Elephas maximus indicus: one gene and its partners. The protein of the gene in region 2 purifies or fractionates together with the protein of the main gene of each other region. This does not show direct contact. Links are inferred from orthologs where the notes say so. Each region holds a gene or a part of one and is shown on either strand. Other genes may lie near its edges.

Evidence for each region.
Region 1: the proteins of CLNS1A (region 2) and EPB41L3 purify together in Homo sapiens (affinity purification with mass spectrometry; 3 studies listed by BioGRID and IntAct, with this or other methods). This does not show direct contact. The link is inferred for Elephas maximus indicus from reciprocal best matches to the Homo sapiens genes CLNS1A and EPB41L3.
Region 3: the proteins of CLNS1A (region 2) and GAR1 purify together in Homo sapiens (affinity purification with mass spectrometry; 3 studies listed by BioGRID and IntAct, counting the BioPlex papers as one, with this or other methods). This does not show direct contact. The link is inferred for Elephas maximus indicus from reciprocal best matches to the Homo sapiens genes CLNS1A and GAR1.

What each region holds. Positions count from the first base shown.
Region 1 is NC_064829.1:23,598,070-23,605,869, reverse strand, and holds the start of EPB41L3 (band 4.1-like protein 3), read left to right. Parts: upstream 1-4,701; 5' UTR 4,702-5,005; coding exon 5,006-5,066; intron 5,067-7,800. UniProt on the Homo sapiens protein: Tumor suppressor that inhibits cell proliferation and promotes apoptosis. Modulates the activity of protein arginine N-methyltransferases, including PRMT3 and PRMT5.
Region 2 is NC_064825.1:44,460,378-44,467,581, reverse strand, and holds the start of CLNS1A (methylosome subunit pICln), read right to left. Parts: upstream 3,022-7,204; 5' UTR 2,957-3,021; coding exon 2,817-2,956; intron 1-2,816. UniProt on the Homo sapiens protein: Involved in both the assembly of spliceosomal snRNPs and the methylation of Sm proteins.
Region 3 is NC_064823.1:41,299,232-41,306,735, forward strand, and holds the start of GAR1 (H/ACA ribonucleoprotein complex subunit 1), read right to left. Parts: upstream 3,049-7,504; 5' UTR 2,654-3,048; intron 2,639-2,653; exon of another isoform or gene 2,382-2,638; intron 2,028-2,381; 5' UTR 2,016-2,027; coding exon 1,802-2,015; intron 1-1,801. UniProt on the Homo sapiens protein: Required for ribosome biogenesis and telomere maintenance. Part of the H/ACA small nucleolar ribonucleoprotein (H/ACA snoRNP) complex, which catalyzes pseudouridylation of rRNA.

The DNA of each region.
Region 1 (7,800 bases), on a different chromosome or scaffold from region 2:
TACAGGGCACAGTGAGAGAAACTGGACAGAAGGCCTTTGAAGGCTGATATTTAGGCTTACTTCCACCATACCCCAGTGCCCTCAAGTCGATGCCTCCACCATAGCATTTAATTTATGCACCAGTGTGTTCCCTTTTCTGATTCTTTGGCGAATAGCATTAGTTAGAGTCTGAGAGAAGGTCAGCTATATCTTCGGCCAGTAGAATTCAAGCTTGCATGCCTGCAATGAGAAGAAAATCCACCATTCACTACCAGGAGCAAGGAGTGTAGATTAAAAACACAACACTGGTTCACATCCCAAGTTATTAACTTTGAAAATATCTGAAGGACCTTAGGAAGACCTTGCATAGACTCTTTCCAAGGTGTCTGTGGATGAGGATAGAATGGGGAGGACTCAGGAGAGGGCAGCTTCCCTGTAGTCTTGGAGGGCTATGTGGTCGGTACTGACGACTGGCTCATTTGTGGTCTTGGTAGGCAGGGCTGTTATGATTGCTTCCAATGACCATTAGGCACCTACCCTCATCCTACCAGCTACTGATAAACCATTTGCTGTCGAGTCGACTCCAACTTCTGGTGACCTCGCGTGTTAGAGTAGAACTCTGCCTCATAGGGTTTTTGGTAGCTGATTTTTCAGAAGTAGATCACCAGGCTTTTCTTTTAGGGACCTTTGGGTGGACTCAAACCTCCAACTTTTCTGTTAGCAGTTGAGTGCTGATGGAACGATCAGTTTCTTGAGTTAATAGCTGATGGTTCTATTAAATTTGCCGCCTTTATGAAACTTTACATCGGTTGTTTGCTTATTCATTCTTTCCTTTGAAGATTGGGTCTGCACAGGGCAGCCACATAGTTTCAAGCAGCACTTCGATGGCGACTTTGGATGGGCCTGATTAGTAGTGTACATCTGTAAGCCAGAGGTCCTGGAGGCCTATGTGGACCTGAAGATCACAGGGTCCTTGCGTAAGCTAGTAGCAGACGGGTTTTCCAAGGTGACTGTTTCTGTGGAAAGCCCATGATGCATGAGCTTTCAGTCTGGGGTGTTCCAGCTCCTTGAAAATGTATTTTATGTGATTTTATGCTGTGAAATTTCTTACCTCATAGAGCAATTATTGTAACTTGTAAGACTAACAATGGCTCCTAGAAATTTTTTTTTTAACTTTTATTGTGCTTTAAGAGAAATTTTACAAATCAAGTCGGATTCTCATACAAAAATTATAACACCTTGCTACATACTACTAACTGCTCTCCCCCTAACGAGAGCACACTCCTTCCCTCCACTCTGTTTTCATGTCCATTCAGCCAGCTTCTGACCCCCTCTACCCCCTCATCTCCCCTTCAGAGAGGAGGAGCCCACATAGTCTCATGTGTCTACTTGATCCAAGAAGCTCATTCTTCACGAGTATAATTATATATCCCATAGTCCAGTCCAATCCCTGTCTGAAGAGTTGGGTTTCGGAATGGTTCCTGTCTTGTGCTAACAGAAGGTCTAGGGAACATGACTTCAGGGGTCAGTCTAGTCTCAGTTAGACCATTAAGTCTGGTCTTTTTATGAGAATTTGGGGTCTGCATCCCACTGCTCTCCTGCTCCCTCAGGGGTTCTCTGTTGTGTTCCCTGTCAGGGCAGTCATTGGATGTAGCTGGGCACCATCTAGTTCTTCTGGTCTCAGGTTAATGTAGTCTCTGGTTTATGTGGACCTTTCTGCCTGTTGGGCTCATACTTATCTTGTGTCTTTGATTTTGTTTCTGCTGAGTCTCTATTTTTTCCTTGTATTTTATTTTGATGGGTAGGATTGTTATTCTCCTTTTTGGTTACCTTCATATTTACCCCTATTTTTCTAAGTTTAAATGTAACTTTTATTTCTTTATATCTCCTTGTCTTCCTCTCCATGTGAAAGATCTATGACTACGTTTCTTAGTTCCTCTTTGTTATTTTAATGTTGTCTTCTTTTACGTAATGATTTTGCTGTTTCCCTGTTTTGAGTGTTTTTTTTTTATCTTGTTTTATTTTTGTGATTTCCCTGTCTGGGTTAACATCTGATTGCTCTGTCTAGTCTTCTAGTCTTGGGTTGATACCTGATATTATTGATTTTCTAACCAAAGAACTCCCTTTAGTATTTCTTGTAGTTTTGGTTTGGTTTTTACAAATTCCCTAAACTTCTGTTTATCTGGAAATGTTTTAACTTCACCTTCATATTTGAGAGACAGTTTTGCTGGATTTATGATTCTTGGCAGGCAGTTTTTTTCCTTCAAGGCTTTATGTAAGTCATCCCATTCATTGCCTTTTTGCCTCCATGGTTTCTGCCAAATAGTCTGAGCTTGTCCTTATTGACTGTCCTTTGTAGGTCACTTTTTGTTTATCCCCAGCTGCTCTTAAAATTCTCTCTTATCTTTGGTTTTGGCAAGTTTGATTTTAATATGTCTTGGTGACTTTCTTTTATAATCTACCTTATGTGGAGTTCGATGAGCATCTTGGATTGATATCTTCTCATCTTTCAGGATATCAGGGAAGTTTTCTGCCAAAAAATCTTTAACAATTCTCTCTGTATTTTCTGTTATCCCTCCCTGTTCTGGTACTCCAATCACTCGTAGGTTATTTCTCTTGATAGAGTCCCACATGAGTCTTAAGTTTTCTTTATTTTTTTAAATACGTTTACCTGATTTTTCTTCAAATATATTCGTTCCAAGTGCTTTATATTCAAGGTCACTGATTCTGCCTTCCACTTGCTCAGTTGTGCTCCTGTGACTTTCTGTTGAGCTGTCTGGTTCTGTAATTTTATTGTTAATCTTCTGAAATTCTAATTGCTGTCTCTCTATGGGTTCTTGTAGCTTACTAAATTTTACACTATTTTCTTAAATAACCTTTTTAATTTCTTCAATTGCTTTATCTTTGTGTTCCTTGGCTTGTTCTGCATATTGCCTGATCTCCTTCCTGATGTCTTGAAGAGTTCTATATATTAATCTTTTGAATTCTGCATCCGGTAATTCCAGGAAGGCACCTTCGTCCAGGAGATCCTTTGATTTTCTGTTTCGAGAGCTCATTGAAGAGATCGTGGTCTGTTTCTTTATGTGGTTTGATATGGACTGTTGTCTCCGGGCCATCTATAAGTCATTGTATTAGTTTATTTTATGTTTGCTTACTGTATCCTAGTTTCTTGCTTTGTTTTGTTTTGATATGCCCAAATGGGTTGCTTGAGTGAGCTACCTTGATTATTTTCGCCTTTGGAGCTCTGATATCCTGTCACCACATGGCTAGAGCTCTTATCAGGTAAATGAGCTTATGAGTTCATTCACTTTTCTTGTGTGGATTCAGCTCAGGTGTCTGGGTAGCTGGTCATCAAGTGTGTGGTACAGGCTCTGTCCTACCATCTTAGAGGGGTAGGGGTGTTTGGTGTAGGTACTGGTATCTAGTTGCAGCAGGGGTCATGCTCTGAACAAGGCAGGGGGCTGAGAACTGTTCCCTGAGTGTCTGTGAGGAAAGTGTGTCCCTGTTCCCTAGAGCATACAGGTGGGTGGATTCTGCAGATGGACCATGGGCACCCAGTGCTTTTGTTTGTAAGGACTCGGAGGTACCCATTATCCTTAGGCCTCTGTCTCAGGTGGCTGGGTGACCTGAGTGGAGCCACCAGTCTTTAGACCCCTGATGTGGGTAGGTGAGGACCCTATTAATAGGCAAAGCAGAGTCAAATATCAAACACCCACCTCTCTACCATACAGCTTAAACAATTGCAGTCTGCCATCAAGGGCCTATTGTCCTCAAATCAGCCCACACAGTTCCATGCAGGGGGGAAAGGTATTCAAAGTCCACGGATCATTTATGCCTGGACAGGAGCCACTTCTGTCCTGAGCTCCCCTTGGGTGGTGGAGCTGGCAAATTATCTTTTCCCCCAGTTGTGAATTTATTCCTTCTCCAAGGCTGGGAGCATGGCTCAATGTGCTCAGATTGGCCTCTCTCAGGCCTGGGGAAATCACCAGCCACAGAAGCCGGCCAAGAGCTGGGGGCACAGTAAAATATACGCAAGTACTTAGCTTTTGCCGAGAGTGCCGTTCTTCCTTGGCTCTGGAGGTGTGAGTAGGCTGTGCAGCTGGCTGCTTCTCCCTGGGGAAACTGCGGCTGAACGCTACTATCAGCCCACTGCTGCTGCATCCGGGAATGGTGCCTGAGGGATCCCGACGATTCAGGTCTGGCAACTCCTCTTTGTTTCTGAACCGTCTCTTTCTCCCTCTGCCTCTCAGACTGTTTTCTAACTTTGCCTTTGATATTCAGGGCTCCTGGCTTGTCATAAATGTAATCGTTTCACTTGATTTTTTGGGTCTTTGTTGTAAGAGGGATCACCAGAAGCATCTGGCTATTCTGCCATCTTCATCTCCTAGAAATTTTGTGCTATGTAAAAAATTTTTTTTCTGGACTTCGATTTAAAAAAAAAGATAATAATACTACTTCTTTAGTCTTTTCTTTGAAGAAGCCAAATTCTGTGGTTCTGATCTGAAGCACCTCTAAGTTGGGTTATACATTCTAATCTTTGTTGTTGTCTAATTAGATTTATTTTAGTTAAATCCTTGGTGGAATATGTAACTCATTTTACTGAGTTTTCTGATTATTATATTTAGTCAACCTAAGTCTTTACCTTGAAGCAGTTTTTTTTTCTCTATTTTAGTCCAGTCTTGCTTTAATTATTTTTATGTTCCTATACATTCATACAACTCTTTCATATCATCTTTCTGGAAACATCTATTGCATATTCAACTGTGGTTTTTATTTGTGAGTGTTTAATGAAAAGGTTAAAGAGAGATCCCTTTGGATCTCTTATGAATTATCTACCCTGTTTTTCTACAACTTACTCCATAATCCACCATGTCTTGGCAGTGGGGAAGTTTCTTGAAAGGAGGGAACTCTTATCAGCATGCTTAGTTTGTGGGTAAGTCACCTTCATTTGTTGGTTTATTCCTAAAATGTTTTTTCTCTCTCCCTTTTTTGTCTTCCTGTCTCACTGCTTCTTGGAACATGGAACATGGACCTGCCCATCTTCTGGAAAAATGTTATCTTGGGGCTTTGGAACATGAATAACATGGGTGAGTTCTGAATTTAATGTTTAAGCTGCTGATTTCCCTCTTTGTGGAAGAAGAAAAGTGCCAAATGCAATTGTTTGATGGAAAACTATCTTCCCGCACCCTGTGCTGTGTGCAGGCCTTGCCATATGTGCCTCTGTTCCAGCTGATCCTCTTGCATGTGAGGGAGAAATCCTGAGTCGTACTATTAGCAGGACCCAGACTCAAATGAAACAAAGATGAATTATTTTCAATGACAGAAGTTGCTATTTAAACCCTTGCTGTTGGTTTTCTTTCTTTCTTTTGGGTTATACCATCTTTAATAATAGTTCTTTACGACAAGCAATTTGAAAATACACCAGTGTAGCTTGAAACGGAGTTTTTTAAGGCTGTTCAGCTGTTTCTATAAATAATACACTTCATATCATCATATTTACCATTTATGACAGATAAAAATGTGATTATGTTTGTGATGTTGGCATTGTTTCTAATATCAACCCACCAGAAATGGTGCGTAATTGAGGGGTTTACATTAAATGAGTCATGAGTCTTCTCAGGCCCATTAGTCTTTAATAGATGTTATCACCATTCAAGGTAGCAAAACTGTTCAATATCAAATTCCAACTTTTTTTTCTGAAACTGACCAATTATGATGTCCTGTGCTTTTGCATTCTGCGTGAAGGTTCAGGCTTGGGAAAGAAGGTTGTACTTCTGCTGGTGGAATCCTTGCTGTGGAAAAAGGAGGCTGGATAACAGGCAGCCTTTGACTACAAAAAATATATACTTTTAAATACATTTTTTTTCTGGCTCCTGAGGATGTGGGAAACAAGTGTGGGGGAAAGCCGTTGAATGGCATAATATTATAGAAGAACTGGTTCCATACTTTTTATGCTTTTATTAAAGTATTTAGTATGGCTGACTCCTGGAAAAAAAGAAATCGGTCGAGATATTTCCTTAGAGAGTCAGTGTTTCGATTATCAATTCCACTTTTATCTTGAATCTTCTTCTCAATACATTTCAAACTACCGTGTCACTGTCTTAGCAGGCTGAGATGGCGGGATTTCACTTGCTGGAAGCAAAGACATTTGTTGTTGTCCTCAGTTATTTTTGAAATTTCTAAAATTGTATTGAATATTAGCATGAAATTTGGCATTGATGTTTGTGCGATTTTCTACTCTGGTGTAAGTGATTAGAGAGTCTTTATCTTAGATGATTTAGTTACCCATAAATATCCTTAGGAATGTGTGTCATTTGAGTTTAATCTGTTGAGCTGTGAGTTGTTGATTTGACACAATTACCACCTAATTAGCTGTTTTGCCTATTGGGTTATGTTATGATTCATCAGTTCCACATATAAAATTTCCTTTCTGGATTCAGGTTGAGTGTTTTCCTCTGTGCTCCTTCAGGTCTTTTCTTCTCCCTCCTTATGAATGATGACCAACTGCACGGTCATCCTGAAATCTCAGTTTCTCTTCCAGTAAGAATCGGTAACCAGAACCTAATTTTTAAAACTGATCATGAGCCGAGTTTTGTGAATCTTCTTTCTGCCTGGGACCTAGGAAATCTTCTGAAGGTAACACTTTATTTGTGAGGTGCTCAGGAAATCTTCAGAAACCTCTGATCCTAAAAATAGGAAAGTGCAAACAAAGATGTTTACTACTACTTCCCAGGCAACCTTGTGTCTGGGTCAGTGTGTCTTCCCACCAGCTCTCCGCCCCCTCTCTTTCTATGGCCGCCTGCTATTGAGGAGTCTTTTGATTTGGGGGTTATTTGCTTTTTTTATTTGTTTGGTTTTGTTTCATTTTTGGGTGGTGGGTTGGGGGAAGCTGGCTGTGCAGCCTAAATAGTTACTGGTTTGGCCAGTACTTTTTTTCTAAAAACAAGCTGGTAGATTCATCGTATTGACCTGGTTCAGTTTCTGTGGTGTGCAGAACTGCAGAATTACCGTCACCTTCACGTTCGCCATCATCTTCATCACTCAGTCTCTATCAGGTGCTGGTTTATGGACTTTACATGAGTCTCATTTAATTATCATTAATAACCTCAAGATACAGGAATTTTGTACCATCTAATTTGTAGGAAAAATTCAAGCCTCGAGTTGCAATAGTGAAGGATTCCATGGGGAAAATATTAAATGATCCAGGAAGCATAAAAAAAAAAAGATGGAAGGAATACACAGAGTCATTATACCAAAAAGAATTAGTCGATATTCAACCATTTCAAGAGGTGGCATATGATCAGGCACCGATGGTACTGAAGGAAGAAGTCCAAGCTACTCTGAAGGCATTGGCGAAAAACAAAGCTCCAGGAATTGATGGAATATCGATTGAGATGTTTCAACAAACAGATGCAGCGCTGGAGGTGCTCACTCATCTATGCCAAGAAATATGGAAGAGAGCTTCCTGGCCAACTGACTGGAAGAGATCCATATTTATGCCTATTCCCAAGAAAGGTGATCCAACTGAATGTGGAAATTATAGAACAATATCATCAATATCACACACAAGCAAAATTTTGCTGAAAATCATTCAAAAAAGGCTGCAGCAGTATATTGACAGGGAACTGCCAGAAGTTTAGGTAGGTTTCAGAAGAGGACATGGAACCAGGGATATCATTGCTGATGTCAGATGGATCCTGGCTGAAAGCAGAGAATACCAGAAGGATGTCTACCTGTGTTTTATTGACTATGCAAAGGCATTCGACTGTGTAGATCATAACAAACTATGGATAACACTGCAAAGAATGGGAATTCCAGAAC
Region 2 (7,204 bases):
AAAAAATAACTCCAAGGCTTCTGATGTGAACAACTGGAAGGATGATAGTGAACACTGAAGGAGAATCAACTTTTAAAGAGGAAAACAGGAATTTTCTTCTGGTCATGCCATGGTTTGACATGCCTATTAGACATGGGTAGTTTAGATTGATGAAGATTCTTTACCAAGCCAATCTAGAAATTGATTTTCAGAAAAACGTTAAACTTCAGCCAGTTCTAATGAAAATTCTCATTTGAGTTAGTTTGGCTGTGAATTCATAGGAAAAAAAAAAAAACCTTTTCAGTAAACTACTCAAGAACCCAACACATTCTGACAGTAAAGGATATTGTATGTAATATGTCTGATAGTGTAAGTACTACGGAGAAAAATAAAGCAAGGAGAGGCAGGTAAAGGGACTTTACAGATGGGAATGGGGAGCTAATTTATATAGGGTGATTAAGGAAACACTTCACTGATAAGCTAGCTGGTTTTTTGGCAGAGACCTGAAAGAAATATAGAAACAAGTTATGTGGACATATGGGGTAGTAACAGTACGTGCGAAGGTACCAAAATGGCAGCATGTTTGTTGGAAACTGACCTTGGTGGGTGCATGTATGGCAACTTTGGGGAAAAACAAGGAAGTCAATGTGTCTGGAACAGAGCAGTTGAAGGAAAAAGTAGTAGATGAGGTTAGAGAGGTTGCGGGAGGCAGTAAGATCATGAGGGCCTTGTAAGCAATTGTGAAGTCCGATCTTTGGCTTTTACTATGACGGCACTCTAACATTTAGAGTTCAGGGAGATAAAGCTGACCCAGTAAAAAAGACTGAGAAGGTGAGCTGCCAAGGAGAATTTTAAGCTCCCATCATCTACATAAGGGGCAGGGATAGGGGATGGGGGATAAAGGGAGAGAGGCTGGAAATGTATGGAAATGTGGGCCATGAACATGGGCAATGAAATTAGAAATCTGAAACAGTCAAATAAAGGGATAAAAAGGAGTGAGGGCCTGGTTGAGTTTGAAAGCATGCAAGTGAAAAAACTGAAGCCCCTTAGCAGATTACCAAAGGGGAAAAAAAAATGATAAGCATAGTTTTCTATTTGAATACCACTTTGTGAAAGTGGGAAAGAGTGATACCTGGCAGAGTATAACTATTTTTAGGGTAAAGGTCAGGCCATGAAATAACAAAGGTGACCTAGGTAACTAGGATTTCCATCTCTCTCTTTTTTTTTAAGGATGAAAGAGTGGCAGGGAGGATGGAAAAGATGGGACTGGACCTGCTTAAACAAATATAATTTCAGATGTTCCTTAAATAAAAGTGTGTGTGTCTAAAGCTGGTAACAGGGAACCCAAGGTAGAGAAGGGAGAGTGTTGACATGTCATAGAGCTATTAACCTATGCCATGAAACAATACGTGTACTAACTGTTTAATGAGAAGCTAATTTGTTCTATAAAATTTCATCTAAAGTACGACTAAAAAAAAAGAGGAAGAAAAAAGTGTGTCTGTCTATACATAGAGTCCTGCGCCTACCTGGGAAAAGAATACCTGAGTTCCCTGAGGGTCTGCGTGTTGCAAACAAAGCCAACTACTAGCCCTAAATTTGCCCTTGTATTTGAAGGTTTCTGGGACTTTTGCCTATTTATTGATATTTCCCTATTTCCTCCCCACATGGCGTAGTAGTTAAGAGCTACGGCTGCAAACCAAAAGGCTGGCAGTTTGAATTCACCAGATGCTCCGTGGAAACTCTATGGGGCAGTTCTCTTCTGTCCTATAGGGTCACTATGAGTCAGGATCGACTCGACAGCAGTGATATTATACATCCTACTTTCCCTCCAGGTCATCCTTCCTTATAAATAAGTCCTTTTAAAGTTTTTTGGGGTCACTGAACTCCTTTAGAATCTAATGTCAGAGACCACAAAAACAATGCAGTCAAACCCTACATGTAACTTCTGGGGTTCACAGACCCCCTTAAAGGCCCTACATTTAAACCAAATTAAGAGACCCTGTTCTACAACCTCCCCTCTCCTTACGGTGATTCTTCCCTACTCTGAACTTCCCCATCCCCCAGCACTATCTGTACTACTCACTTAACTATTAATCTCCAGTTGCCTTGTTATAGTCCCAATACTTCGCTAACTTATTTAACTGTTCACATACTTAATCCTCAAGTAGAGAATAAACTCCTGGGAGTCGCAGGTCGAATCTGACACATCTTTGGGGTTATTTGTTTTAAAACAAGCAAGGCTGATAATAAGTATTCAATTTAAGACATGTCTGACTGTGAAAGTACAAAGCGTTTCAGATGGCAAAAGAAAAGAGAAATCCACTCTAGGGCCAAGAAATGTGAGTCAGATCCCTTTGATTATGACCCTAGCCTTGGGTCAGGGGTGCACCTCTCCCCACCCACACTTACAGAAAAAAACTAAACTCTTTTAACTAGACATTCAAAATCCTCTACAACCTGTACTGAACCTACACATCCTGCCCAGGGCAACCTGTCCCGCACTTGTTCATAGGACACGAAGTCAGGGCCTAGAAACTCAAAACCATGCCCATGAGTAAGGAGCAACGCACGCGCCAGACCTCCAGTTTGTAGGCGGATAGAAAGCACAATCAGGGAGGAAAACTCCGTCTGAAATAGAGAAAGAAATGCTCTGGGGCAGGAGACACACGAACAAACGAGTCTTCCTCCCAGCAGAGGCATCCCCAAGGTGATGCGGACCACACACTGCCCCTCCCAGCAGCCACCGTGGTCGCAGTCTCTCTCCTGTTCCTCGGCGCCGCCGGTGCGAGGGAGAAGGCAGCGCGCAGGAGGCCAGAGCTCGGTAACAGGGACCCTACCTCTCAGCGATGTAAAGGGTTCCGGTGCCGAGGCCCTTCCCGTCCAACACAGCCTCAGTATCTGGCTGCTGCTGCCGAAGCCCCTCAGCCGGGCCAGGTGGCGGGAAACTTTTAAGGAAGCTCATTGCAACAGGGAGCATCGAGATACGGGCCTGGCGGGAGCTGAGATGACTGTAAACCCAGCTCGCCGCGTCCCGCCCCGGAAGCAGCCGCAATCGCCCCGGAAGAACAACCTTCTGGACAGGCATTTGCGCGGCCGCCAACCATAGAGATGAGCCGTTCTAGGAAAAACGCTCGGAGGTTTCCCAAGACCTTGCCGAGTTTGTCACGTGATGCCTTGCCGAGTGTGTCACGTGATACCTTGCCCCCCCCCCCCTTCTCTCCTTCCCCCTCCCCCCATTTTGAGACTCTTCGGCCTGGAATGACGAAGCTTTCTCCCGCCTCTTGTTTCGAGGTTGTCACAACAACCCTGCGAGAGAGGAAGCACGAGGAGTATTATTATCTCTTTTACTACAAAAGAGGAAATGGAGGCCCGAGACGTGGAGTTCCTTGTCTGAGGTCACACACGGAGTAGAAACAGCACATGTCTAGATGTCAGAAGTCTCCTAATTGGGTTCAAAGCTTTACTCTCCTGGTCCCGCCTCACCCGGGGTTGTTCACACATCGACTTTGTACAGCCGTGCACCAGACAGCAGTCTAGGTCCTGACACTGTCATATTGCACGAGCGACGCATCCCCACGTCTCAGGTGGGCAAAAGAGCACAGAGAGGTAAAATTAACTCAGGGAGAAGAGCTGACTATTGTCAGTAAGGAGATGGGTCGCTGATTAAAAAAAAAAATTCACCAGTCTTCATTAGAGCAATAAAACCTTTAAAAATCATCATAGTAAAATAAGGTTAATGAGCGTTATGTGCCAGGCACTGTTCTAGGCACGTTGTCCATGTTATTAGTTCATTTAAGTAGCCGTGGTGGTGCAGTGGTTAAGGCTCTGGTGCTAAGCTAAAGTTTGGCAGTTTGAACCTCAACCTCTCTGAGGGAGAAAAGACCTGACTATCTGTTCCCGTAAAGATTATGGTCTAGAAAACCCCATCTGCCCTATAGGGTCGCTGTGAGTTGGAATAGACTCCAGCGCACACAGTATTATTTTACTCTTTAGGACAACTTTATGAAGAAGTTGCTATTGATTGAATTTTGCAGATGAGAAACCTGAGGCATTAAATTCAAGAGCAAGAGTTTGGCGTGAGAAACCTAGTGGAATCCAAGCCACTCAGTCTTTCTAGGTTCCTCTTTTCTTACCTGTAACTTCAATATGATCATACCTATGCCATAGGACTGTTAACCCTGGAGGACCGACATGTGAGGAATCTAATTTTTATCTTGTAAACAGCTAGGGAAATGTTAGATTTTTAAACTAGGATTACATTTTTAAACTGGGATTAGTAGTAGTTTGAAGGATGGGCTGGAGGAGGGAGACAGTGAGCAGGCAGGGTATTAGGGAGTTGTTGCCATAGTATAGATGAGAGAATGGCAGTAAGGATGGAGATGGGAACAGATTCCAGGGCTACTTCAAAGATTATTTCTAAATTTTCAGTTAGTGATTGAGTGGATGCTAGTTCATTTCTCCAAGATGGAGAATTCAGGAGGAGGCAGAGGTTTTGAGAGTAGCTATCAAATTTAATTTGGGAAATGGCAAATTTAAGGTTACCCAAAGGACATTTAGATGTGGCCGGTTACTTAGTGAAACATCCAACACTTTGCTCAGAAATGGAATCCCCCAAATAACACTGGAAGAAAATTGGCTAACACCAGTATCTGATAATTTCATAGCAACTTGACCTAGTTTTCATAGTGTTGTTTTTAAAGAGTGATTGTCTAATGGCAAAACACTTCATCCATGCTTTATAACTGAAGAATAGGGATCTGACTTACAACAAGGAGGTCTTCAAGCACCTGGTACAGTGCTAGGCTCAGAAGGATGCGATCACGTAAATGTTTGTGAAAGCAAACTATGGCATATCACTAAGAATATAAAGAACAAGATTTGTGCTTTCTGTTTCTTATATAAATCTCTGTGGCTAATACAAGTAGTAGGCACTGAATAAATCTCACATTTGAACAGTCTTTTACTTTAAAAAAAAATGCTTTCTCACTCATTATCTTCTTTGATCCTTAGGGTAATTCTGTGAAGTAAGGAGGGTGACTATTATTATGCCCATTTTAAAGATAAGGAAACAGAATCAGAGAACTTAAGTGACCTGATGAATGCTACATTACTAGTACTGAGCTAGAAATTATATTCATGCCTTTTTATGAAAAGTCCAGAGTTTTCACTACAAACCACCACCTATTAGAACTAGATAGGGTTATAAAGGTATTTCTCCTTTCTAGTGATAGTAAGGATTAAGCTTTGTATGTATGCATTCTTACTAGATCATACTCATCTTACTCTTAAGGTTATATCCTTGAGAGTAAGAAGAGTATGATCTAGTAAGGTTATATCCTTGAGGGTGATAGATGGAGTTGGAAGTAGGTGAACTGGTTGAAAATATGTACGAGGAATAGATAGGTTAGAGATTCCCCAAATTTCCTCTTTCCGAGCCTGACAATTGATGGTGGCTGTCAGCTGGAACCTCACTGGGGACAGTTGCAGATTGAATTGTGTCCTCCAAAAATGTGCATCAACATGGCTAGGCCATGACTCCCAGTATTATGTGATTGTCCACCATTTTGTCATCTGATGTGATTTTCCTGTGTGCTGTAAATTCTACATCTATGATATTAACGAGGCAGGATTAAAAGAAGAAAAAAAAAGCCAGAACTCAATCTACAAGATTAAGTTGTATCTTAAGTCAACCTCTTTTGAGATCTAAAAGAGAGAAGTGAGCAGAGAAACATGGGGACTTCGTTACTACCAACCAAGAAGAGCCAGGAGCGCGTGTCCTTTGTACCTGAGATCCCTGCACTGAAAAGCAACTAGACCAGGGGAAGATTGATGACAAGGACCTTCATCCAGAACTGACAGAGAGAGAAAGCCTTCTCCTGGAGCTGACACCCTGAATCCAGACTTCTAGCCTCCTAGACTGTGAGAGAATAAATTTGTCTTTGTTAAAGCAGCACTAAATAACTAAGACGGGGATATCAACTGGAATACCTATACATAGCCTGTCGATGTGGCCTGGTCTTCCTCACAGCTGGGCTTCAAAGGTGATCATCCCATAAATGCCACAACTTCGCCTTGTTAGCAGGCATTCATTCTTTCAGATGCCAGAAAGAGTCTGAAGAAGACAGTAATTTAAATTCAAGAAAGCAGCTGACATTATAACATACGGTGCCAGAGATCTCCTGACCAGACATAACAATTTGGGAGACAATAAATTTCAAAGCCTGTCAGTTAGGGTTTAGGGCCAAAATGGTACCAATTCTCCTGCTACTGCTTCCTCAGTTGCCATTGCCTTTCTCTATTGAAAACCTCCAATGTTCCATCAGCTGCCACTGCTGACCCAGGAGCAAAAATTCTGCTCTTCACTCTCCCTCAAAACTTCTTGCACACCTGGATCATCTGGTGTTTACAAATTATGAAGTGTTTTGTTCGGTTTTATAAACTCAAATTTATTATGAAGGATCTTTATTCATAAAGATCATAATTTTTTTTTTTAATCTGCAAATAAAAAATACTAAAGGGAAATGCACTAAAATGGTGGTTATCTCTGAATGGTGGGGCTGCTGTTTAATTTTTTTTTCTTTTCTTTGTTTTCTTTGATAAACATATTAATTTATCATTAAAAGGAAATTAAATCTATTACAAAAATATTACAAACGGGATACTCTGTGACTTAGGGAATTGACTTTCTCTGCTGTTAATTTGGTTTTCAGATAGAAATCAGAAATGACTGGTTGAAATAGTAACTAGTAACCCAAGAAACGGTGAGACCGAGTGTTTATTTAGCATGCAAGCTTAGTGGGGTCATTACTTGCATCTTTAAATTAGAAGAAGCTGTCGTAGAAAGAATACTGACTTTGAGTCTTAAAAACTGTTGTTGTTAGTTGCCATCGAGTGGGCTCCAACTCATGAGACCTTATGTCTAACAAAACGAAAAGTTGCCCACTTCGTGATTGTTGGTATGTTCGAGTCCATTATTTTGGCTATTGTGTCACTCCATCTCATTGAAGGCTTCCCCTGTTCTCGCTGATCCTCTGTTTTACCAAACATGGTGTCCTTTTCTAGTGATTGGTCTTTCCTGATGACGTGTCCAAAGTAAGTGAGCCAAAGTCACGCCATCCTTGCATCTAAGGAGCATTTTCACTGTATTTCATCTAAGACTGATTTGTTCGTTCTTCTGGCAGTCCATGGTATATTCAGTATTCTTTACCAACACCACAGTTCTAAT
Region 3 (7,504 bases), on a different chromosome or scaffold from region 2:
CCAACCTCTTCTGAAGGCTTTCTTCTTGGCTTCCTGGGATGTCATCATAACTATTATCATCTAAGCCAAAAGATAACAGTCAATGAGAGTATAGACTCTGGAATCAGACTTTCTAGGCTGGTATACCAATTCCACAATGTACTAACTATGTGATCTAAGTTACCCACTCTCTGTCTGCTTCGACGTCCTCATCTTTAATATGTGGCTAATAATGGTACCTCCATCTAATGTATGGTATTGTGAAGATTAAGTGGGATAATGAATGTTGTTTTATTTCTTTACTAGAATGACACTTATTATTTGATTAAACAACGCTTCATTCTCCTGACTTCTCTTCCTTCTCCCCAATCCCTAACTATGAATCAGTCTTTGTTTCTCTATTGCCTTTTTTTCTTCTCTGTTAAAACATACCCATTCCCACTACCACCTCTTCACCAATGACTCTTCAATTGTTCAAGAATGTTTGGAATTTCAAACAGCCTCTATTGGCTGAAAGCCGAGAATACCAGAAAGATGTTTACCTGTGTTTTATTGACTATGCAAAGGCATTCAACTCTGTGGATCATAAATTATATATGCAAAAAAAGGGAATTCCAGAGCACATGATTGTGCTCATGTGGAGCCTTGTACATAGACCAAGAGGCGGTCATTCGAACAGAACAAGGGGATTCTACATGGTTTAAAATCAGGAAAGGTATGCATCATGGTTGTATCCTTTCACCATACTTATTAAATCTATATGCTGAGCAAATAATCCGAGAAGGTGGGCTATATGAAGGACTCAGCATCAGGATTAGAGGAAGACTCATTAACAACCTGCAGTATGCAGATGATACAATCCCTTTTTGCTGAAAGCGAAGAGGACTTGAAACAATTACTGATGCAAGTTGAGGATGACATCTCAACATAAAGAAAACAAAAATCTTCACACTGGCTCAATAAGCAACACCACGATAAACAGAGAAAGGATTGAAGTTGCCAAGGATTTCATTTTACTTGGATCCCAATCAATGTCCATGGAGGTAGCAGTCAAGAAATCAAACAACGTATTACATTAGACAAATCTGCTGCGAAAGACCTCTTTAAAGTGCTAAAAAGCAAAAATGTCACTGAGAGCTGAAGTGTGCCTGACTCAAGCCATGGTATTTTCAATTGCCTCTTACGGGTCTTATGCATATGAAAGCTGGACAAGTAAAAAGGAAAACCAAAGAAGACATGACGCATTTGAATTACGATGTTTGGCGAAGAACAGGGGATACACCATGGACTGCCAGCAGAAAAAACAAATCTGTCTTGGAAGTACAGCCAGAATGCTCCTTAGAAGCAAGAATGGTGAGACTTTCTCTCAATTACTTTGGACGTGTTAGTAAGAGGGACCAGTCCCTGGAAAAGGACATCATGCTTCGGTCAGGGAAAGAGAGGAAGACCTTCAACTGAAATGGCTGCAAGGATGGGCTCAAGCAAAACAACGACTGAACGCTGCGAAGAACCAGTGATTCGTTCTGTTGTATACATGGTCACTATAAGCTGGAACCAACTCGATGACTCCTGACAACTCTTCCTTTCTGTCAAAGCTCAAGTTCCACTTCCATGATGCATTCTAAGTGTCCTTCACCTTCTTGGTCTCCCCCTCATATGCTACAGCATGATTATAAGTCAGTTAACAACATTACTCACTAACAGACTTGCCTCCCCAAGCAAGCAGCAACTTCCCTACGATAACACCTGACTCCAAGTCAAACTTTCTGACTAACAACACAAGCCCCAAGTCCCAAAGAAGCCATGCATTGAGCTGACATACAAACTACACGTTCTGGAGGTCCTTGGTCTTGGAATTTGTTAAAGCCTCCACGGCCACCCCCTCGTCCAAATCCGCCTCTGCCGCCGCCGCTGCCGCCTCTGAAATTGCCGCCGCCTCCACCTCGGAAGTGGTTGTTGCTGCCGCCGCCGCGACTGAAGCCGCCACCTCCACCACCTCGATTAAAGCCTCCACGACCTCCGCCTCGAAAAGACATGCTCTCTCCTACCTGGTGAGAAAAACGGTACGTGCCTTCAGGTCACTGTAGCCTCTGGATACACCACCTAACTCATCTGAGCCTCGGTCAGAAAACCATAAAAGGGGACAGTGATAATGGTCAGCCCTACCACCCCACTCACGGCCAAGGCACCTGTGACGAACACGAGGAGTGAGCCGTGGCACCTCTCCATGGACCTTCGGGCGCCGACCACTCACCATCCTCGTCGCCCTAGGGTTAGTACCTCCTCCCCCAGCTGGCACCGAGGTCTTCATGCTACATTCCCTTCCTCCCTTCCTCCCTCCTTCCCTGGCTGCGCTCCACATCCAGAACGCTCAGATCTTCGGGCTTCCTAAAGCCACTTACCGGCGCCACGTGCACCTCTGGCCCGGACGGTGCACGCACACCCACTTTCCCGGTACTTCCACCACCCGCGAGCCTCCTCGGCCACCGTATCTGCGTAGAGTGGGAGGGGGGAAATGCCCCGACCGGAAGTTGGAATAACTGACCAGCCAAAAGGAGCCAGTCACCAGCGAGACCAGCGACGATTTCACCTTTCTAAAACAGGTTTCATCCCCGTAAAAGTAAGAGCGATATCAAGCTTCAAACGCTAGTTTACAACAATTACGTCAACTTGCCTGACGACGGGCAGAGGAAGTGACGTAGGTAGCGTCCTTTGCATCATGACGTTAAAGGAAGTGCCGCTGCGCTGTTGCCCTTGGAGATGGATGGCGTTAGGGCTCTGCCACCTCTCCCGGGAGCCAGGAGGGTACTATTTGGAGCACGTTCGCTCCAGCGGTCACTGCGGACTGGCCGCGCGCTGTAGCTTCTCGGGCAGTAACATGATCCCCGACCTCGCTCTTCAGTTCATTGTCCGCTCTAGCAACCGTGCAGTCACAGCTCTGAGGACTCTTGATCCGCGCTCTGCCCAGAGGTGGATCTGGCCGCGTCGGAACCTGTCACAACCAGTGACGGGCTCGTCTGCGTTCTTTGTTCCGGAATTCTTTGTTTTTTCCGGTTCTTTTGAAGTACGCACCATTGTGGACTGAACTGTTCTTGTGCTTTTGTCCTGTGATTTCACTAGCTGCAGGAAGAAAAACAATGTGTATTTATATGTATATACGTTTAAAGAAACTACATTATCTGATAGAAAGCCAAACTTTTTTTTTTTGGTACCAGGTAGTTTATTCATGTGTCAAGTACTTTTTGAGCATAGACCTGGTGTTAGGCTGTGCCCCAACCTATACTGGTTGCCCCTCACCCCCTTCCCTCCTTCAGCCTTCGCTACATCTGTCTTCAGCTTCCCTCCACCAGCTAAAACTTCTCTCCCAAAGAAAGCTTGTATAACTTCCGATTAGTTAGCTTTGGTTGGATTCTTTTACACCCGAATTCTCTGCGACCTTTTCTTGATATTTGACATTGCTGACCATCCCTTCTTTGAAAGAGAGTGAGGATTGGCACCTATTTCAGAAGGCAATTATAAGTTTAAGTGAGATTTTGAAAGAACTTTGTGAACTCCACTATAGAAATGTTAGAAATTATAGTATGTCTTCTACACTAACTTAAAAGCTCTTTGAGAGACACCTGAGTTCTGTATACAAAATGAATTTGATAAATGTAGCTTTAATTCAGATTCGATAAATGTACTTAAATTCTGTCATACGGGAGTAAAATTACTCATACCTGCCATGCTGTTTTACTTTTGTGTCACTTAAGTTTGGTCTTTTATCTCCTTTTGGTGTCCCACTACTATCTCCAACTCAGTATGATGAAATCATTGAACTTTTTTGGGACCTTCAAGAGCACCTGGAGCCTACCACCTTTATTCTACAAGTAAGGAAATGACATTCCAAGAAGCAAAGTAACTTTCCCAGCTGGTTAGAAAGAAACTTGAAATGGGTTTTCACAGTCCTCAGTCCTTCTCTACCCATCCCGCTTTCCTCTTGCCAAAATGTTCATGTTTCCAAATCTCTGTTTGTCTTCATGATACAATCATACTCTTGTTTTCTAAATATTTGGACTCAAACCTTTCAGCACTCTCCTTCTTCCCTACCACCTATCCACAATCCAGTCTTTTATCCGAAGCTAGCAATTTCTGTTAATTCCTTCTAAGGTAGCTTTGTACTGTCAACAACCTATTACAGGCCTCCTGTTGTCGCTGCCAAATTTTCTTATGTTATCTCTACCCTAGATCACCCTATAAAATGTGCAAGAATTCAAAAGACCAGAAATAACAGTGAATCACAACATCCTGTCACATTTTGAGCATCTTGGTTACCTCAAACTATGCTTCGAGGCTACACTCTTCCTCCCGTCATCTGTACTGCATATGATGACATATTGAACTTTCCAAATCAGTTCCCGCATGTCATATCCATCCCCAGGACCCAAAACAGCTTCCTGTTCCCTTTAGCATTGAGTCTAAAATAAAATCTCCACATTCTATATAAAACTTTATATAATTAGTTGTGTTTCCCTCCTGTGTTATATACCATTCCTCCGTTCCAGCAGGCCAGCATCATCACCAGACAGCCTGCATGCCTTGCATCTTGTGCTGTCCCTTTGTCAAACACTTGCTTGGAAAAGCTCCATTTTCCATCCACTCGACTGGCCTTTTTCTTTTTACCTGAGGAACTCTTAAAAATTTTTTCATGTCTCAGGAACCCCTACATAAAAATTATTATATATACAGACCACAGTATGTTAGCATGATCAAGAAGTTGTAAATAAAAAACCAGCTGCTATCCTGGCGATTTCGCTCATGGCAACTCTATGTGTGTCAGGAGTAGAACTGTGCTCCACAATCCAATGATAATTGTCAGTGCTCTTTTGAGTAAATAATGATGTTTTTCTATGAATCTGTTTATTTTTGTCCAGCTTGTTAGCCTACTCTGTAGCTCTCCCTCCTCACAAAGAATATCAACTCTAATGCAAATTAAATGAGAAAGGAAACCTCAGCTTTTCTTTAAAAAAAAAAAAAACCTTGAATTTTTAAATCTTACCCAAATAGGCCTAAAAGTATTCACAAATTTCTGCTATATAAGATGCTAACGAGGTATGGTATGCGGTATATGATATGTGCAGAAGTAGGTTTTTCCCTCTATTTAAAACTGAAAATGACTTTTTAGCCAAACTTTCTTGAAGGGGTTGCGGGGGGGGGGGGGGGACAACAGGTTAAGCTTAGCTTACTTTTCTTGAGATTAATCTCTTTCCTTTTTATAAACCAAAACCAAACCCAGTGCCGTCAAGTCAATTCCAACTCATAGTGACCCTATAGGACAGAATAGAACTGCCCCATAGAGTTTCCAAGGAGCATCTGGCGGATTCGAATTGCTGACCCTTTGGTTAGCAGCCATAGCACTTTACTACGCCACCAGGGTTTCCAAACCCGTTGCATTCAAGTCGATTCTGACTCATAGCAACCCTATGGGACAGAGTAAAACTGCCCCTTAGTGTTTCCAAGGAGCAGCTGGTGGATTCAAACTGCTGACCTTTTGGTTAGCAGCCAAGCTCTTAACCACTGTGCCACCCGGGCTCCTTCCTTTTTATAAACTATAAATATTTATATGGCAAACATCATAACTTTCTGTTGAGTAACTGGCCTCAGGCAAAATGGATTTTATTTTTTTTTAAGGTAGGCTCAGTAGATCTAATTTAAATTTAGTAAAGGCTTCAAATTGATTTTTATTAATGTTGTTTACAAAATGAAAAAAGTATTGAGAATGTGGAAGAGTGAAGCTACTAAAATCACAAACCAAAGCAATAGTAAAAATATAGCCCAAGACATAATTTTACTTAAGACTTTGAAAATACATTTTCTTACTCAGTGACTTGATCAGACTCAAATATAGGCCTGTTGTTGTTAGGTTTCGCTGAGTCGATTTTGACTCATAGCAACCCTATGTGACGTAGTATATAACTGTCCCATAGGGTTTTCTGGCTGTAATCTTTATGGTAGCAGATCGTCAGAGCTTTCTTCTACAGAGCTGCTGGGTAGGTTCAAACCACCAGCCTTGGAGTTAGCAGTCGAACACTTAATTGCACCACCAAGGCTCCTAAATATAGGCCTAGCAGTTACAAAATTATGCACATGTGTTGATTTCTTGATCTCTTTTTATAGGCCTATATATGCATAAAGTGTTACTTTTGAAACGAAAAATACTGAAATTTGCCTAATTCGTGTGAAACCTTTGCTTATCTTTTGCTGCACAGATGCTCAATTCTGAGTCAAACTTAAGATTGGCACACACAGATTTTATTTTCAACTGATATGAAATGATTTCTGCCTTTGCTCTTAATGCTCCTGAGACAAGAAAAGGTTTGCTCACATGTGAGAAGTTGAAAAGTACAGTAAAACATGTATTTGTGTTCCTATGAATTTCCTTCACAGAAATCCAGAACTTGTAGAGGGCAGATCAGTACATTTCATCTTATGTTTATACAGAGAATAATTCTTCCTCTTCTCTCAGATTCTCAGGCTGAGAAGAAGACTCAGAGAAATAAACCCTCATCCAGTCATATATTTCTGTTGAAAGGGAAGGAAAAATGCTGTTTAATTTTGTTCTCCAATCCCCTCAGGTGGTCTTCAATAACACTTGAGACTTCTCACTTTCAAATCTAAGCAGCAGTGGGAACATTTCAAGATTTCCTTTTGCAGTATGATTTTCCCAAAGACTCAGTTTCCATTTAACCCCAAAAATCTTATCACTTGAAGTAAAATATTTTCTCCATCTTTAAGTAGTTCATGTGGTGAAAAATATCTGCTAACTAGTTTCTGCAGCCATCTTTATCGTCAAAGCACTTGACAAAATCTGGCTTACTATTTTCTTGAAAGTATTTCTAACAGGTCACCTTTCAGCTCAAACATCCTGTAAAGAACCAAAATCAGTATCAGTTTTTCTTTCTGTATAAGAAATTACTCCAACACTTAGTGGCTTAAAACAATAAATATTTATCTTGCACAATTTGTGGGTCAGAAATTCAGGAGCAATTCAGCTGGGTTGTTCTGGCCCAGGGTTTCATGAAGTTTCCGTCAAGATGTCCATGGGGACTACAGTCATCTGAAGACTTGACTGGGGCTGGAGAATCATTTCCGAGGTGGCTCACTCACATTCCTAGCAAGTTGATGCTGCCTGTTGGCAGGAGACCTCGTTTCCTCACCACATGGACCTCTTCACAGAGATTAAGGACTTGAATATTCTCATGACGTGTCAGCTGGCTTCTCCCAGAACAAATGATCTGCTAAGCCACAAGATTCATGCACATGGCAGGAGATTTGTGTTGTCTTTGTCCAACACAGTTTTAAACACAGCTTAAAAAAAAAAAAAAATTTTTTTTTTTTTAAATACTGCTTAAATGCCACAGTGAACTGGTCTTGGTTTGATAAGGTTAACCATTTTTATAGCATCATCCAGAACTTCTTTTGTTTTATCTCCAAAAGTTTCTAACACCAGCATGACTCTGGGACGAAAGCAGTGTGTTGTGAAAAC